Linked DNA regions of Tamandua tetradactyla. Each later gene encodes a partner of the first gene's protein in a complex. Links are inferred from orthologs where the notes say so. Each region holds a gene or a part of one and is shown on either strand. Other genes may lie near its edges.

Region 1 (5,975 bases):
GGCCTCCATAGGATGTCCTGCCCTCTGGGTCCCCCTGCTCAACAAGGGCCACAGCAGGCTCTGCTCCACCTGGGTTGCCAAGGGGTCCTGCCTGTTGAGACCACACATCACAGGTGCCTGACGCCCTGTCACTGTTCTGTTGGTCAAATTTGATTTTCGATTCTGCCACAGCTTCCATGAGCTTCCCAGCGACCACCTTACCAAAAACACGATTAAGAGAAGGAACACCCTTATACCTTGCACCGCAGCAATGCAGAAAACAGCAGGGAACACAATCGGACATTATGAGGTTAGGATGGTGAATTCAGGTTTGAGGACACAAACACAAGGAAAAAGAAAGGTCCACCCTAGTGCCCTGAAATCTGTGGAAAACACAGGTGCTCTGCCCCCTGTCCCATGCCCTCACCTCTAGGTGCAGGTGCAATGACAGGTAACTCCAGGTAAAGGACTGCTACTGCTCTGGGTCCTCCCACCCACTGAGTTAGAGAGGACTTAAGAACAGCAGGAGCAGAAACAGGAGAGTGTCAAGATAAAATTCTCCTGGAGCACAAACTCTAACCCCCAGGCCAAGGTGCCAAAATGTCAGATAGGATTGCCTCTCCCCACCCAGCTCCACCCCACCCCACCCGGGCAGACCCCGGGCCTCTGGCCCAGGGGAGCACCCAACAACGGCACAACAAAACCATTCCAGCTCTACACACATTTCCATTTTATTATTATGGCAAAGGTGAAAACGCCACCTTCTCCACAACAGCAACCAGTAAAATTTATCCCAAAAATAACTCAGTACAAAACAGGTCTGTTTCAGAATTTAAAAAAAAAAGAAAAGGAAAAAAAAACAAACAAAAAACAACAACCTTTACATGAGCTTTAAATCCTACTTTAAAACATAAAAGAAACAAATCCATGGCTGCACACAGCCCTCCGCCCCCCACTCCGGGGCATGCGGATGAGCCGTCGGGGCCTGCTCCACGCACGGACTTGGGGTCTGCTCAGCTGGTGTCCATCTGAAACAGAACAGGAGAGGTTGTCACTGGGAAGCAGTCCCCATTTCCCAGCCTCGCTTGGGCTGCTCCCTCCCTGTACACACACCCCTGGACTTACTCGGGCATTATAAGCATCCAACTGGGCATCCAACTCCTCCGCAGAAAGCTGCTGTTTTGAACTCCTGCCAGCTCCTCTGCCTCTTCCCCGGCTGCCTCCGCGGGTGCCTCTCCGAGGGCCACCGACACCTCCGAAACCTCCAGAGCCACGGCTTCGCGTCATTCCGCCTCTGTTTACACTGACGAGGAACAGAGGAGTTGCTCACACTCGGTCAGGCCCCAAGGATGGACACCACCATATGCCATAGGCCTACCCCCACTGCTCCATGGGCCCCAGAACTCACCTCTGTGCAGGTCTCCGCTGCGTGTCAATCTGTGATGTGACGAGTTGAATGTTCATGGGGCGGCCTACAGCAAACAAAGAGCACAGTTGCCAGATAGAGGTCATGCCTAATCTGAGGGTGCCCTACCTGGTCTTCATGCAAGCACTGCAAAGGGTTCTTGTGCTGTGTCAAACACTTCCAACAAGGGAATGACCTGGAAATACTGGTAGGGGAACAAAAAGGCAATAAAAACAACCCCCCCAAGGCCTCCTCTTTGCTCTCAGCCCAGTCTAGGTGGGAGGAAGAGGGTTCTGACGAGGAAAATGGTACCTCTGTCTCTAGACTACAACCTGCATTCAGAAGTTTACTATGGCAGTTCTGAGAAGGCTTCCCAGAACTTCCGGATGTCCAGATGTAAGGGACAGCATGCAAGGCAGTAGAATGGAAGAGACAAAGGGGCAAATGCAAAGCGTCCCTGGCCACAGAGCTCAGCCATATCCCTGCGTGGACAAGTGCCACCCCCAAACTCTACCCTTCGTGTACAACCCTGCAGCCATACTGGTCCAAACCCAAACTCACCATCTAAAGGGACACCGTTGTATTGTTTCATAGCCTTCAGAGCGTCAGCCTTCCGTTCAAAGTGCACATCTGCTGTTCCTAAACTCCGGCCAGATCGGTCGTAGTGCACAGCAGCCTTTTTCAGAGTTCCAAATTCAGCAAAGAGTTCCTGGGAATTGGAAAGAGCAGACTCGTAAGCAGAGCTGTTTCCCTTTAGTGTCCCAGGGATGGTCCCTGGAAGTGAAATCTGCTTTGGGGGTGTTTCCCTGGGAGGCAGCCATGTACACAGGGGCAGGGCAGTGGGAACTGGGGGAAGGGATGGGGTGGGTAGGACAGCAACTTCCAAAGCACCTGGGTCTGAGGGCTCCTGCCAACTGAGGGACTTGAAATCTATAACTCGATGCAGGGAAAGGAAGTTGCAGGAACCCACAAGTGAAGGGCACAAAATTAAGCCGCTCTCCTTTTTGACAAAAGAAAATTTACAACTCTCCCAAGAACTGTTCCAAGAAACAGCGAAGGCCTAGATCACACAGCAAGGGAAGCTGCCCAACATTCCAGGACAGCTTGAAGGGCCCCTTGATTTGGGAGCCCTAACCCCAGTCCCTCCCCCGAAGGCAGATTCTGGCTCACCTTTCCCTCTCCTCCTACTCAAGCCTGCCGCAAAGTCTGAAGTCAAGCGCTGCCATGGAAACTGCCCTGACCTCAGGCAGGCTGGGAGTTGGAGAGGGAACCCAGAGTGTGGGGCTACTCCGGCCGCAGGCACACAGCGGGAAGTGGAGTCACCAAAAGCGGTTTCCAGTGGCTGCCAGAAACCACCTTAAAAAAAGTGTTGAGACACTGTGAGTGCTCACCGGCCTTGCTCCGTCCTCCCACGGCAAAGCCCAATGGCCATGCTCTGGGAGATGCAACCCAGGAAGGCCCAGCACCCTGACCCAGCCATCTCCAAGACTGATCCCCAAGAAACTGTTTCTTTACCAGAAAAACAAGTTTAAATTCCTTTAGGTTCAATAAAAAACAAAAAACAAAAACAAAAACCAGTCTTCAACCAAAGATGAGCTTAGAACCAAACCACTGACAAAACCTGGGGGGAGCGGCAGGGGACGGGGTGGGGGTGGTACCACTGGGCCACAAGTCATACTTGATAGAAAGCCTCAAGGCCAACAGAGCTGAAAAACCACTAAGACCCTACTTCTGTACTTTGTTAGTTAAAACGTGTGTGTGTGTGTGTGTGTGTGTGTGTGGATTCTTCTCCCAATAGATCATTAAAACAGCAACAAAACAAGGAAAGCAAGCAGCCAGAAGTAGAAAGCTCTGCAGGGGATTTTCAGACACCAAAAACACGTTTTTGCAAAAACTAATACACTAAGGTCTTATCTTCTAACAAACACTGATTCACTTATTCAACTTTCAACTTTTCCTGACCACTGCTGGGCAGGGTCTCTCCTGCAGCCCCTTACACGGAAGCAGTGGCTATTTCTGGGGCAGCTGGGAGGGCTTCCTTTCCTAAGGCGGGAACAGGATTCAGGGCCCATGACAAACACGATTAGTTCTGTGCAAGGTGAACTACTCACGGAGACGCTTCCGTTTCTTACCTGAATATCAGCGTCTGATACTCCAAAATCCAGATTTGACACCAGCAGTTTCCCACCGGTCTCCACGCCGGCACCTCCTCCAAAGCCGCTGTCGAACAGATCGTGTTGCCACTTATCGGGAAGCTGTTTTGGCTGAAAGAGAAAACCCCATAGAACAGAAAAAGACCGGTGAGTCTCACTCTAGGGCTTTTCCTTGCCCTCAGGGCTCATCCCAAGATCCTGCTCCCTTCCTCAACCGGGCCCTGGGAGAAATCGCCGAGAAGGGGCCTCTGGCCCTTCCCTCCCTGCCCCGGCCCGAGACCCCGACGGTCCCGCCGCTTCCGCGCAACTTCTCAGGTTCCCTTCAACTAACTTCCCGCCGCCGGTGCGGCCGCGCCCAGCGTTCCCTCCGCTCCCAGCCGCCATGAGGTTGCAGCGCCCGGATGAGACAAAGAGGCTGAGAAGGTCTGAGCCTCCCGGGGCCAACCCCAGGCCGCGCGACCTCCCCGGCGTCTACCACACCCGCCGGCTTCGGGACCAGCTGCCAGGCCTCGGGGCCAGCCCTCTCCACTCGGCGCTCCCGCGGCCTGCCGGGCCGGGCCTCAGCGCACTCCGCGCCCCGCAACCCCAGTGGCCTTCGCGTCCACTCACCCTGCTGTAGGGCGCCGGCCGGTTCCTGCCGCCGCCGCCAGCTGCGCCGCGGGCGATGGCCGGCCGGTTCCGGATGGACCCGCCGCCTCGATTCACGCGCGCGGCGGCCTGCGCTCCGCCGCCGCGGCCGCCCTGGGAGCCGGCCCGACCGCGGCCCCGGCCCCCGCCGCGGCCGCCTCGCTGGCTCCGGTTCAGCTTAATGATGTCGTCCAGAGACATATCCATTTTGTCGGCCATGGCGGGCGCGGAATCGGGCCTCGGTTCGAGCGCGCGCGTCAGCACGCCGGGGCGTCACTTCCTTCGCCGCGCGGGGACTTCCGGAGTCGCGGCCCCGGAGCCGCTGTCGATTGGCTGACGGCGAGCGGCTAGTCGCGCGAGGCGGGGAGGCGCGTGCGCAGCGAGGCGCACAGCTCGGCGACCTCAGCCCGACTGGTGCTGGGCTGCGGCTGCTGTCGTTTTTATACCTTCCCGCGCGGACGCTGGCGCCACAACGGCCGACGGGCGGGGCCGCGTTGCGTAGGATTAGGTTAGGGAAGGGGCGAGGGCGTCCTGGGTTGGGCGGGGGCCGTTGGGGGCGGGGCCTGACGTGCCCGTCCCTCGGGCTGGGGGCGGGGCCCCTGGGACGCCCCCGAGCTCTCCGCGCTCTCGGTCGCGTCCTGAGCCGGATGCCCGGCGGGCACCGCGGCTTGTTTCCCCGCCGTTTCTCACGGGACCGCCCGGCCGACCGTCTCCAGCGATTCGTCTTTCAGGGCCTAGCGGTTGCCCCGGGCAGGTATGGGGGTCGGGGGTACAGACTCATGCGTCTGTTTGTGCCTTTTCGAGAGTTAAAAATCTCACAGCGTGCGCGGTTTGGGGCTCCATCCCCCAAGTTAGCCACGGTCATTTGTTTGTTAGTTGTGTCCTTTTTGGAAGTGTCGTGTGACCTGTTTACAGGGCGTTAAGGAAAGCAGCAGCCCTTTCGTGAATGTCCAGGTCTCCGTAGTTACCGTAAACGCGAGGCAAAGCCAAACTCTCCAAAGCCGTGGTCCCAAGTCTGATGCCCTCCTTGCCAGCGCGAGCTGAGGCCCCTTTTCAGGGCTTTCTTTCCCTCTGGGCCCCTAAAGACACGGCTAAAGGAACCTTTAAGAAACCCCGGGTGCAAAGCCAGGCACTCCGCTCCCCTTGGCCTTGGCCGGTGGCTGCTCCCCTGCAGCGCGGGCCCTCTTGGCTGGGAGAAGCACGCCCTGGGAGCCTTAGTGTTCTAGCTCTGTAGACCGGATTCACCAAGGTAACCCTCTTCCCATCACAGCCATGAAGGTGAAGATCAAGTGCTGGAACGGCGTGGCCACTTGGCTCTGGGTGGCCAATGACGAGAACTGCGGCATCTGCCGGATGGCCTTCAACGGCTGCTGTCCCGACTGTGAGTGCCTCCCTCTTGGCAGTGCTGTTTGAGCCTACTTGCCTGACATTGTCGTTTCCTGAAAGTACCTGGGTAAAATCCCTGGGTTTTAATTTTGTTTTCCTGAAGAAAAGGTGACAGGAAAAAAAGGCAAGCAGTTTGGGCCCATGTTTTTATAAAGATCGAGGCAAAAAAGTTTTATAAGAAAAGCCAGTGCAGCATTTTATTGTAATCAAACTCAGCAATGAGACACACAAGACAAAAACAGATCTAAGACTTTTTAGTTTGAAAATTTCAAACAAACTAGCAAAAAAGGTAAAATAGCATAAGGAACACCCCCTTATCCCCTCCCCCTCCCACCCACGCCAGGGAATTAACAATGAATAGCCTTTATTTCTATTTTAAAGTCAGATTTATTGAGTTTTAACTTATATTATAAAACTTGCCATTT
Region 2 (5,975 bases), on another chromosome or scaffold:
ATCAAAGAGATTGTTACAGATTTTGGTTGTTAAACTTAAGTCCCATGGCAACTACAAAGACAATATCTGAGAATATGCAAGGTCATGGAGACAGAAAGTAGAGTACAGGTTGCGGAGCATGGGTGGTGGTGGTTAGTAGGGGTAATGAGGAGGAAATGCAAAATGGGTATAGGGTTTGTGTTTGCCAAGTGGGAAAAATTTAGTAATGGCAGGTAGTGAGGGTTCTGCAACATAATATGACTAATCCCACTGAGTGATATGCTTGGGAGTGGTTGAGATGGAAAAGAAAGGTAAGAATCATTTGCAGCTTTCTTTTTTTTTTTTTTTTTTTAAAGAGAGAGGGAGGAAGGGAAGGAAAGACAGAGAAGGAAGGAAGGAAGGAAGGGAGGAAGAAAGGGAAACATCTTTAAACATTTTCTTGTTTTTATTATATTTTGTTTGTTTGTTTGTTTTTTACATGGGCTGGGGCCGGGAATCGAACCGGGGTCCTCCGGCATGGCAGGCAAGCACTCTTGCCCGCTGAGCCACCGCGGCCCGCCCTGCAGCTTTCTTAATGTCCCAGAATTTACCTCATGTGTTTTGAAGATTACTTCCACTTATGACTTCCTCTTGTTTTTCCTAGTCTCAATGTTCCTTTTGCTGCTTCCTCATCCATTTATGTTGCTTTTATGTTTCCTCATTATGGTGCTCTACTTTAAATATTTTCTGGAATAAGGCATGTCAGTAAATTAAGGATGGAAGTTCATAATAGTAATATTCATAAAGTAATGTAGTTAGTAGGTAAGAAACCAACGGGTTCTGGAAAAGAGAAGAGGGGATATCTGAGGTGGGTCTTGAAGAATAAATGGAATTTCACCAGGCAGAAAAGGCAGGGGAGGGCAATCTGTGCAGACAAGGAGACGGAGAAGGCACAGTTCTCATCAAAGGAAAGTGGAAGGAGAGATAAATAAACCAATTCTTATATTTAATAACATTAATTGAACATTACTATTATTGTTCAATAATAGTAATGTTCAATAAAACTCCATGGAAAGCCGTTTACAGTTTTTACTGCATTTAATCCTCAAACAACTTTAAGAGACAGATTTTTTTTTATCCCCATTCACAGAAAATGAAACTAAGGCTCAGAGGTTAATTAACGTGCCCACAGCCAGACTACCTGGAAGTGGCAGAGTGGGGGATTCCTGTTGCCTCCAAGAAGGTGGGGGGTACTTGACAGCTTCAGCATGTTTACTAGAATTCATCTTCCCTCCCCTTCTGTCTGACGAAACCTATCTCTCCTTTGCAGTTCTCTACCTCAAGAGAGAAGTAACACTAACAAGCACACAATTACTCAAGCTAGAAACTGGGGTCATCCTTGACTCCTCCCCTCACACCCACCCGATCACTTAAGTCCTGACTTCTACCTCATAAATATCTGTCCCACCTGTAAATTCTTTGCATTTCCTTGATGACTATCTTGGCCTGTGTCCCCATGACCTCTTGCCAGTAGCTACAAGACAGGATACATAACAGTGAAGTGCAAGAACTCAGGAGCTGGACTATGTAGTTTTGAATCCTGGCTCTATAACTTACTACCAGTGACCTTGGGCAAGTTATAGCCTCTTTGTGTCCCAGTTTCATTTGTAAAGTGGGAAAAATAATTAGAACACTGCTTGGCACATGGAATGAATACTATATAAATGTTAGAGAGGACAGAGTTAATTTAGCTCCTCACTTTCCCTTGCCTTCACCATTCTTCATAGTGGAGTGTTGTTTTACAAAATGCAAATCTGATCACACTACTCCAGTGTAAAAACTTTTACGGCTTCTAAATTCTGGCCATTACAAGTAATTGTGGTGTTCTTCCAACACTTTGGGGGCTTGTGCACAAGTGGTTCCCCACCTGGAACACTTTCCCCCAACTACATGTATTTATCCTTTAACAGTGGGATGAAGAATAACTTTTTGAGAGGGACTTTCTGATGTTCCAGAATGGATAAGCAATTTTTGTTACATGCTTCTATACTTCCGAATTTTGTACTTCTCCTGTAGTAACATTTACCACCTTTAAAAATTATTCCATGTGTCTGGGTGCATGGGTAGTTCAGTGGTTAGAATGCTCACATCTCATGTGGGAGACCCAGGTTTGATCCCTGGACCATGCAGCTCCCCCCATTCCCCCCCAAAAAATCATTCCACATGTCTTTCCCACTTGAATGTAACCTCTAAGAGGGGGAAAAGGTCTTGCCTCTTGGTTCTGGCTGTAATCTTAAAGCCTAGCCCAAGCAGGATAAATATCTACTGAATAAATGAAAGTGAAAAGAAGCAAAGTTGAAACTCCCTCATGAAGTTCCTGAACCTTTCATAGCCCCCCCCACTTCCACCACTCTCTACAATGTCTACAAATTTGGGTTCATCATTCTTCTTTCTATTGCTAGCCCCTTAAACTGTACCCAACTTTTCAGAAGGGGCCTTTCTAAGTCCCCTTAAAAAGGCCCCCTGATTTCCCATCCCACATGTCAAAGGACTACCATAACCAGATACCTTCCAGAGTGCTCCACCCAGTTGCCCACCATACCTGTTTCAACTCTTTCCCAAGGTGCTACCTTATTTCTGCTCTCCCTGTGTAGATGGCCCCCGGATCCGTCTTAAATTGATCCACTTTCCTAAATTGCCCTCACAACTGTCCACGAACCCAGCCTCTGCCTCCCCCACCACATCCATTCAGCTGGCAAACCTCCCCTCTCCAAGACACACATACATCCTTTACTATCCTGATCTACCGTAGGTGCCCTCATCTGTATATCTGCTGTTTGCCTCTCATAGCTCCCAAGTATTCCCTGATTGCCCTCCAGATATTCCATTCACATATCCCTTTTAGCTGATGTTCCCATCTCCCCCTCTCCACCCCAAATTCACATGCAGTTCCCAGATCTCATTGCGATCCATTGTCTGGGGGCCGTTCCGATCTGCCCAGAAAACTCCTTCCTCCACGTGTCACCCTCTGTATCCAGACGTCCCTAATACCCATGACCTGGAACCCACCCCTCTTTCCCAGGTTGCCCAGAAGCCCCCGCCCTATCCCTGGAGCTCCCACATCCTCCCATTCCCCCCACAGGCCTTCCGGGACCCGTGGTATCAAGCCTTTCACCAACTCCCTCCACCCTCCACTTCGGCGCTCCGTGAACCTACCTTACCCCGTCAATGCTCCCTTACCACATCCTTCTTCAACCCGGACCCCACCCGGTACCACCAGCCCACACACAGCTCCCAGCCTCCTCGGCCCCCATGTGTACTCTTATCCCCCGACGACCTTCCCAGCACACCCTCTTCACGCCCGGCGCCGCCTCCGGGGAGATCAGGCCGAGAGGCTCCGGGGAGAGGCCTGGAGGCCAGGGTCTCCGAGGGGTCCGACCCGGGAGGCCGAAGAACTCCCGGAAGCGGCCACGGAGACCGAAGGACTCCGGGGAGTGGGCCCAGGTGGTGGCGAACCGGCCTCACCGTCAGTCACGGCTCCCATGGCGTGCGCGGCGGCGGCGGCGGCGGCGGCGGCGGCGGCGCAAGCTGAGGCGGCGGTTGGCGGCGGCGGAGGTCAAACTCCCACAATGCAGCCGGGTAAACAGCCATGGAGGAGGAGGCGGCGGCGCCTGCGGCCGCCAGCTCCGACGCCTGAGCCGCGCCGCCGCCGCCGCGGGACCCGCGCTCCCCGCGCTCCCGGTACCCCCCGGGAGCTGCCGCGGCCGGCGCGTGTGCGGGCTAGGCCAGGCGGGCGGCGGCGGCCCCGGCTGGAGTCCCAGCCCCCGCCGCCCCCCTCTCTGCCCCCTCCCGGCCCACGCCCAGAGGCCGCTCCGGAGGCCGCAGCCAGCCGCCAGGTGAGCCAGTCCGGGCGCCGCCCGGGCTGCGGGGGCGCGCCGGGACTACTGGGGTCGGGGTGCGGCCCCTCTAGCATTCTGGGAGAAGTGGACCCTGCTTCCCCCACCCCGTCCAGGCTGTTGCGGGGGGTGCGCTCGCTTCCTGGGGTGAGGTGGGGAGGGCGGCGGGACGGGGAGCGCTGGAGCTGGGCGAGGCACCGAGGGGGGCGCGGCGCGAGGGTCTCGCCGAAGTTGGCGCCCACGCACGCCCGGGCGGGTCTCAAGCGTAGGGATTGCACCGGGCGCGGCTGGAGATCACGAAAGGCCCAGGGTTCCAGGTAGGGCGGTCGGGTCCCTGCTGCAACCCCTTTCCTCCCTGGGCTCGGGCCGGTGCTGGGAAAAAGGACGGAGAAACTTGTCCTCCGGAGGAGTTCTGCCGACTGACTAGGATCGTTGCGTGGTTGCCATCCCGCACCCGCACGCAGTTCCGCAACAGAGCCAGAATCTCGTCGGTGATCTGGATAGGGTGCATGTATTTATTTATTTATATTTTCTTTAATTTTCAAAAAATTGTCTCGCTGGCTGTCCTCGTCTTAAGGGGGAAGTTTTAAGTGTAGGGGTAGGGGGAGTGTCAATGAGAAATATTGCCTTGTGTGTAGAGTTAGACATTTCCGGAGTACACGGCAAATTATACTGACATCTCTTCCCAGAGTCACTTTGATTCAACTTGAATGAGTTTGCGGTAAATTCCAACATTTACTTGGTGAGAGAGGCCGGTCAGGGAACAGGCACCGATAAAGCGGATTCTTGACCTCCAGTGGAATAGAGAACAGTTAACCACAAGAAGCATGTCTGAGTTTTGAACCCAGGTTTGACATGTTAAATAAGCCATATCATTATTTTCCAATATTCTTACCTCCCAAGCTCCCTGTCTCTTTATCTGAGGATGAAGCAGTTGGCGCAGGATAAATTTTGCTGTTTCCTTTCCTTACTAAAGTTGGATTCATACTCTTCATTTCCCCTCAGTTTTTTCGAAAAGGAAGAATCGTTAAATGCAAATGTATGGCAGTGAAGTGCCTTTTACCTCTAGGTAGAAATCAGTATATGTAACATTTTTTTCATGTATTTCAGGCCAGAAACTTCAGTAATGCCATTTATAATGCTCTCAAGAGTTAGGGCCTTCAACTTTTGGCACAAAGGCAAGAATTACATTGAGTGAAGATTCTGAGGTTTTAACTTGACCGTTAGGATGTGAAACCTCTGGCTTTAAATAATAATTGGCGTAAGTCTGTTCAGTTCTTTGATTTTAGGAGAGAGGACATGCTAACCCACAGAATAGCTTGTTTGAAATCTTAAGTACTACAGACTGTAAATTGGAAGTGTCAGTTGACTATCTGTCTGTCCTGAGTGGCATTTTAATGATGGTTATTGTTGAAAAGGTAATTGTCAAATGGTGTTATAATGTGTTAAATTTTAAGTGACTTGTTACTTGATCTGATCATAATACTGATTTTGAAACATTATCTAGAGATTTAAAATAATCTTTAATGTTTTTATAGGAACATATCACTTGTTTCCTGTAACTGTTAATATTTCGTGAACCAGTCATTTGTAGATGGAGTCCTGGTCAAACATTTATAAGTTCATTTTGTGGCTTATAATTTTGTTGAATAGTGTTAGTAATTTTCTAAAGTAACGAGATTAATTGGAGAGACTGAAGTTTGAGGTATTTCTGAAAATAAATATTCTTGAAAGTTCTTGACTCACGTAGTGGGAAGCACATCATAATTTGAACTGTTATGAATTTTTAACTACCTGTTTTGTCAGCCACATAACTTAACTCATAGATGTATGGACACAGAGCTTTGTTTTGACCATTTAAGACCTTTTGTAATTGCCCTTCCTTCACATCATATATAGTGAGGGAACAACTAGGAAATTTTAGAAGTGGCCTTTTCATATTATCGGTTATGAATTAACCGACTTTACATAACTCAATGTTGAGGTAGGAAGGACTCAAGATCTATCCCATACTAATGTATCTTTTCTAGGGAGGCTTCTCTGGGCAGAGATAACGAAATGGAAGTAGATTTTAATTTATTAACAAAACTGATTTGCGCTTCGAACTTGTATCACCGTAGA
Region 3 (5,975 bases), on another chromosome or scaffold:
CAGAAACAGGGCAAACTAGTATGATTTTTAATAAAACAGGTTGAGATAGCCTGTAACTTCACCTGGCAAAAAGAGGATGAGATGGAATTTAAGTCAATGGCAGTAAGTACTATTGATCCCTCTGGCTCTGTGTAATTACAATATGTTCATTCACTTTAAACTATTTGCTAGGTACCAACTGTGTGCTGGGCACTAAGCCAGAACATAAAGAACAATTCATCCTTGTCCTTATGGAGCTCAGAGTCACAGTAAGGAAAGGCACATGTGAAAACAAAAGTGATAGATTGTATTTAGAGTACTGTTGGGACACAAAGGGGAAAATGGACATTTCTACCCGGGGAACTGAGAAATGGGATCAAGAATGGCATTATAGGAGAAGTGTCCTTAAGCTAAGTCTTAAAAGTTCAGTAGGAGTGTCCAGGCTGCTTCAGACAGAGGAAACACTGAGCTAAGACAGATGCATGTAACATCTTGGAATTGTTAAGGAATTGTACCTGTTCATTCTAGCTGGAGCATAAAGCTCAAGGGAAATTTAGCATGAAATGAGGCTGGATGGAAAAACAGGTTCAGTGTAAGCACTTTATAAAATACTATTTAGTTTCTGATTCAATTAAGCAAGGCTTTTTGATCCTTGATTGTGTATGAGGCACCAAGTGTATCAAGGACAATTCACCAGGATGTACTGCCAGCACTTTGCAGATGTGACAGTGTTCAGCCTCAAGCTTTCTAATGGCCAAAGGGAAATCTTGACTGCTTTTCATATATTTGAGTCAGTGTTTTGATGAGGTCAATGAGAACTAATATAAGGGCAGTGGGATTTTTACAGAAATATTCCATCTTATTAAAAGCCTCTGAGATTTTCTCAACCACGAAAAAAGAAAACTGGGAGTTTGAAGGCGTGGAGTCTGGAGAGGGGATGCCAGTCATTCTCCAGTCACAAGCTAGTGGGAATGGGGGAAGGGTACACTAAAGTGAACCTACCTCCTCTACCACCTAAATCCAGCCATACTCTCATGTCATAGAATGTAAATGAGTTAGTATAACAGTTGCAGGTTAAATAATTTCCTTTCTCATCAATGCATGAAGGTAGAATATCAGAGTCTTCTCACTGTATTTTTTAGGGTATATGGGATTTTCAGGGTATGGCGAATTTAGAAAGTGGAAGAATTAAAAGCTTCAATTTTTCAGTTACTATAAGAAATCAGGAAGCTTTGTTCATTCAGGCTATGCACCATGTGCACAGTCAAGAATCAGCAGAAACCCTCTGCATTTGCAAACACTTTGTGCTATAAAAAGTAATAAAGAAAAAAGCCACCTGTATATATATTTAAAGATGTGAAGGTTTTGATACTTTTTTACAAAAACTACAAGAGAAAGCATACCTGTACAAACCGTCTACTTTAACATAGTGTTTTGTTCTATACAAGCTGCTGTTATTTTGAGGGTGAAGTACTGGTTTGCAAACTCCATCACATTGTGCCCAATGGATTTTCCTTGTTTGTCTTTATCTTCCCCACCCAAATTACTGTCTTTGATGTGACAGGCATGTTAGAATGTTGGGTTGCCCTAACCATTTCTGCTCTTTTCACTTTGTCATTCCAAGTTTGGTTACCTTCTGTGCTCAGTGCAGTCTGGTTTCTCTTCCAGAGGCAAAGGGACTGAGGGTGGTGTGCTGCATTTCACTAGCTGTACTGGAATTATCCTGATGAACTGAAAACCAAATGTGAACATTTGTAAAATCAGTGCCCTGTTTCTAGAAAGATTAAATTCATTTTTTTTAAAATCTGGAAGCATTGTTTCATTGTGATGTTTTAATGAGGGGGGAGTGGACTAACACTGAGCCCCTGTTGTGTAACACGTGTTTTACATTATCTCAGTCTTTGACAATCTGTGAGATAAATATTATCAATATTATTCGCCCCATTTTACAGATGAGACGATCCCAAAATGGTGAAATAACTGCACAAAGTTATTTTTAGTGCCCCCAAAGGACATTTGCAAATGTAGCATTCTCTAACGCTGTGGTCTTCAACCCTGACTCACCAATGCCCATATACATCCTTAGAGGATTTATTTCATTGGTTTGGGGTGGGGTCTGGGTATCAGTATGTTTTCTAGCTCCTCAATGACTCTAATGGGCGGCCAGGGCTGAGAATCACTGTTGGATAAGCAGTACACAGAGGACCGAGGAGTGGAAGATCAAAATATTCAATTTAACTTTTACTCACAGAACCTACTATAGAGACCAGGGGACAATTAAACATTCATAATAAGTTAGAAAAGCGTAAAATGAAGGATAACCAACTGTGGGGGGCGGGGGGGGGTTAGTTCCAGAGAGATGGCAATCTCCACTATGGATTCAGAGAAAGCGTTACAGAGAACGGTTTTCTTGAATTGATGTTTAAACAGCAAAGTTCAGTCGAGGCTGACTTTAGACACAAACATCATTCGCGGCGGTCCTCTCCCGGGTTCTGTGAGATGGGAGCATTTAACCCCATTTTACTGTTGAGAAGACCTATGTCCAGAGACAATGAAGAGCTTGCCTGACTCACACAAGGTCGGGGGTTAGGCCTGGAGGGGGGTGCAGGACTAGGAGGGATTCAGGCCGGAGAGCTCCTGGCGACGAGTCTTGGCCTCACAGCGAGATTCCAGACTCCCTCTGGAGAATTCGAACAAACCCAGAACTAAGGAAAACCACGGCAGGCGCTTCCGGGTTACGGGGGTGGGGACGGGAGGGAAGCCTTGACCCCGCCCCCGAACGGGAGGGGCGAGGCAGCCTTGTTTCCGCCTCTGGGAGAAAGGGACGCCGCAGCCTTGTTCTCGCGGGTACGGGCAGGGAGGGATCCCTTGCTCTCGCGACGGCGTTGTCGTGACGTCACTTCTCCGCGCCGCCGAACGTCAGTGTTGGTCGCGTACAGCCGCCGCGCTGTTTGCTATGTAAGTTCAGTCTCCGTGGCCTTTTATGAGCCATGGAGAGTGACTTTTATCTGCGTTACTATGTGGGTCACAAGGGCAAGTTCGGCCACGAGTTTCTGGAATTTGAGTTCCGACCTGACGGTAAGAGCGGCCTGGCGCAGTGGGGAGCGGGTACTAGGCCTGGGGCGGGGGAGTGAGGAGGCCTAAGAGTCGGAAATGTGCGGTGAATGAGAGGAGCGAGGGACTAAGACCTGTATAGCGCGGACCTGAAAGGAACGTTCCTGTGCCGATTCCACTGGTTCCATATCTTTCTATCCATATGCAAGGACTCCTGTTTAGAAACATGTTTGACCAGAGTGCTTTCATTTAACAAACACTGAATGCTCCCTTTGTGCCAGGCTTTTTTCCGCTCTCTGGGGATACAGCAGTGAAGAAGATGGACAAGCATACTCTCTCAGCATTTATATTCTAGTGCTAGAGACAGATCACAAACAAGCAAAAAAGAAGATTCCAGGTAGTGATGAGCGGTCAGAAAAAAATAAAGCAAAAAGACTAATTACTGGATGAGTTGCTTTAAGATAGGGTGGCCATTGGAGTGCTCTCTGAAGAAAGGATAATTTGAACTGAGGTCTGAGTGGCAAGAATGAATCAGTGCTGTGAAGCTCAGGAGCAAAGGCATTGTAGACAGGGAGTAGAAAGTGCCAAGGCTGTAGGAAATGAGCTAGGCATGTTTCAAGTGACCAGTGTCACTGAAGAATAGTAAGCTCCCAGGAAAATAGCATGAGGTGATGTGAGATAGCGGCCACATCACGTAAGCCATATTGGATTTTATTGTAAATGCGGCAGAAAACAGTTGGAAAGTTTTAAGCAGGGAAGTGATGTGATCTGTTCTGTTTTTGAAAAGAGTATTCATTGTTGGATGCAAAATGGGCAAAAGTGGAAACAGGGCTGCTTACTAGGAGACAGTTACAATTGTCAAGACGAAAGGTTATCAGTTGGGACCGGGGTGGTAGTAGAACTGGAGAGAAGCATTTAGGATACTGTTGGAAGCAGAACCAACTGAGACTTCGCTGAAAGAATTTGGGGAGTGGGCACTGAAGTGAAAGAAAGGTATCAAAGATACCAAAACTTCTACTAAATGGTAGAAGAAAGATGAACCTGCGAAGTCCTGATTTTGAGGGAGATAGAGTTGAAGATGGTGAGAAAGTACTGTTTTAGGTACTGTGATATAAAGATAGTGGAGACCTGGGAGCAGAGAGAGGGCACGTAAGCAAGTGCCCTGAAGGTCAGGAAAGGCATTGTAAATGAAGTGTAGCTTGAGGGGAGTGGAGTGAGTATTTAGGAATATGTAGGAGTTGGTTAGGCAGACAAGAATCAGTAAGGCATTTTGGACAGCATTATCAGTCAAGAGGTTGAAAATCAAAAAGGACATGTAATGTTTCAAATAGAACCCAAGCAGTTTGGTTGACTCCCCAGCTATGGGAGAGAGGAATATTGCAGGATTGAGGTTGGAAAAGTAGGTGGGCACACACATTGACAGTATGCCATGCTGAGGAGTTTGGATTTTATCAGGAAAGCTGTGGGGATCCATTGAAGTATCAGAGTAACCTATTCGTATAGGTCTGTTACTAGATCACTTGGGCTCCGAACTGAAAGAAAGAGACTCGAAGCAGAGAGACAGTACAGAGGCCATTAGAATAATTTGGCTTTTTTTAATATGTGCCCTCTATTAGGTAAAAAAATAATGTCTTCTATTTCCTTTTATCTTCTCTTTCATTCCCCACCATATACCCAGATCAGATTGTTGGATGTACATGTGGAGGCTCACCAAGGGCATGTAAACCAAATGTGCTCAGTTATAAAAGCGCAACTTTTATATTACAGGAATAGTTCAGTGTTGTACAGTCATCTGATAATGTATAAAAACAGCCTTTACATTTTTCAAAATGCTTTCACAACTCATTTGCGCCTCAGGAAGCCCTGAGTCAGATATTTTATCAATTATGTTCCTATTTTCACAGAGCTGTCCTTTACCCACGATCACAAAAGAGCCTGCCATGTTTTGTGTGGTTTTTTGTTTTGTTTTGGTGCATGGCCCAGGAATCGAACCCAGGTCCCCCACATGAAAGGCAGGCATTCTACCACTGAACCACCCCTGCTATGTTCTTTTCCCACACTTGAGCTGTCTTTTGCAAGAAATATAGTTCAATGTCAGCCATATTTTTGGCTGTGAGGATGTTTAATAGCCTAAAGTGAGGAACTGAAAAGACTAGCATTGTTGAAACACAAGGTGTAAATAGTAAATTTCTTAGACAATTTGAAGGGAAAGTTAGGGTACATTTTAAGCAACAAGTGATAATCTTGGTAGGCTATTTATTTTTAATTGTACATTGAATTTGTTTTTTTTGCCCCTCACAGGGAAATTGAGATATGCCAATAACAGCAATTACAAAAATGATGTCATGATCAGAAAAGAGGTATGAACCTTCATTCACTACAGTAGAGACTTTTCCTTGTGTTATTTTTGTTCTTTCTGGAAGTAATATTGAAAGATAAAGAACTGGGAAGTAGACACAACTGTAGGCAGCTTCTCAATTCCTTCTCAGATATTCCTTTAGTTTATGCTTTCATTCACAGTGTAGAATCAGTTACTGGTCATCATGGAGTCTGGCAGATCTTGGTTTGAACCCTGAACCTGTTTCTTACTAAACATGTGACCTTGGCAAGTTTCCTGGCTGAACTCAAGTCTCAGTTTCTTCATCTGCAAAAACAAGGTTAATAGAACTCATCCATCCCCAGCTCTGACAGAGAATTAAATACATTAAACTTAAAGTGCTTCATATATTTCTTGACACATATACTCAGTAGAGAGAGATACTGTTGAATTTGAATTTGAAATGACAGGGAACATGGTAAAGCAGCTAACATTCGTTGAATACATGTTAGATGCCAGGCATGGAGCTAGGTATTTTACATGAAGGAACTTATTTAACGCTGATTGTAAGTCCGTGTAATAGATGGTATATATCATCTTTAGAAAATGAAGGCACAGATCTTAA

Evidence for each region.
Region 2: ALYREF (region 1) and THOC7 share a complex: the UniProt entries of both Homo sapiens proteins name them as parts of the transcription/export (TREX) complex. The link is inferred for Tamandua tetradactyla from reciprocal best matches to the Homo sapiens genes ALYREF and THOC7.
Region 3: ALYREF (region 1) and MAGOH share a complex: the UniProt entries of both Homo sapiens proteins name them as parts of the ALYREF/THOC4-EJC-RNA complex. The link is inferred for Tamandua tetradactyla from reciprocal best matches to the Homo sapiens genes ALYREF and MAGOH.

Annotation. Positions count from the first base shown.
Region 1 is NC_135332.1:74,073,692-74,079,666, forward strand, and holds ALYREF (THO complex subunit 4), read right to left. Parts: upstream 4,483-5,975; 5' UTR 4,384-4,482; coding exon 4,147-4,383; intron 3,649-4,146; coding exon 3,517-3,648; intron 2,094-3,516; coding exon 1,946-2,093; intron 1,452-1,945; coding exon 1,388-1,451; intron 1,283-1,387; coding exon 1,105-1,282; intron 1,008-1,104; coding exon 993-1,007; 3' UTR 686-992; downstream 1-685. Other genes in the region: ANAPC11 (anaphase-promoting complex subunit 11), read left to right, coding at 5,437-5,545. UniProt on the Homo sapiens protein: Functions as an mRNA export adapter; component of the transcription/export (TREX) complex which is thought to couple mRNA transcription, processing and nuclear export, and specifically associates with spliced mRNA and not with unspliced pre-mRNA.
Region 2 is NC_135341.1:20,809,843-20,815,817, reverse strand, and holds the start of THOC7 (THO complex subunit 7), read right to left. Parts: upstream 3,647-5,975; 5' UTR 3,503-3,646; coding exon 3,484-3,502; intron 3,456-3,483; exon of another isoform or gene 3,309-3,455; intron 706-3,308; exon of another isoform or gene 570-705; intron 1-569. UniProt on the Homo sapiens protein: Component of the THO subcomplex of the TREX complex which is thought to couple mRNA transcription, processing and nuclear export, and which specifically associates with spliced mRNA and not with unspliced pre-mRNA.
Region 3 is NC_135328.1:168,391,874-168,397,848, forward strand, and holds the start of MAGOH (protein mago nashi homolog), read left to right. Parts: upstream 1-2,870; 5' UTR 2,871-2,969; coding exon 2,970-3,057; intron 3,058-3,074; exon of another isoform or gene 3,075-3,430; intron 3,431-5,334; coding exon 5,335-5,393; intron 5,394-5,975. UniProt on the Homo sapiens protein: Required for pre-mRNA splicing as component of the spliceosome. Plays a redundant role with MAGOHB as core component of the exon junction complex (EJC) and in the nonsense-mediated decay (NMD) pathway.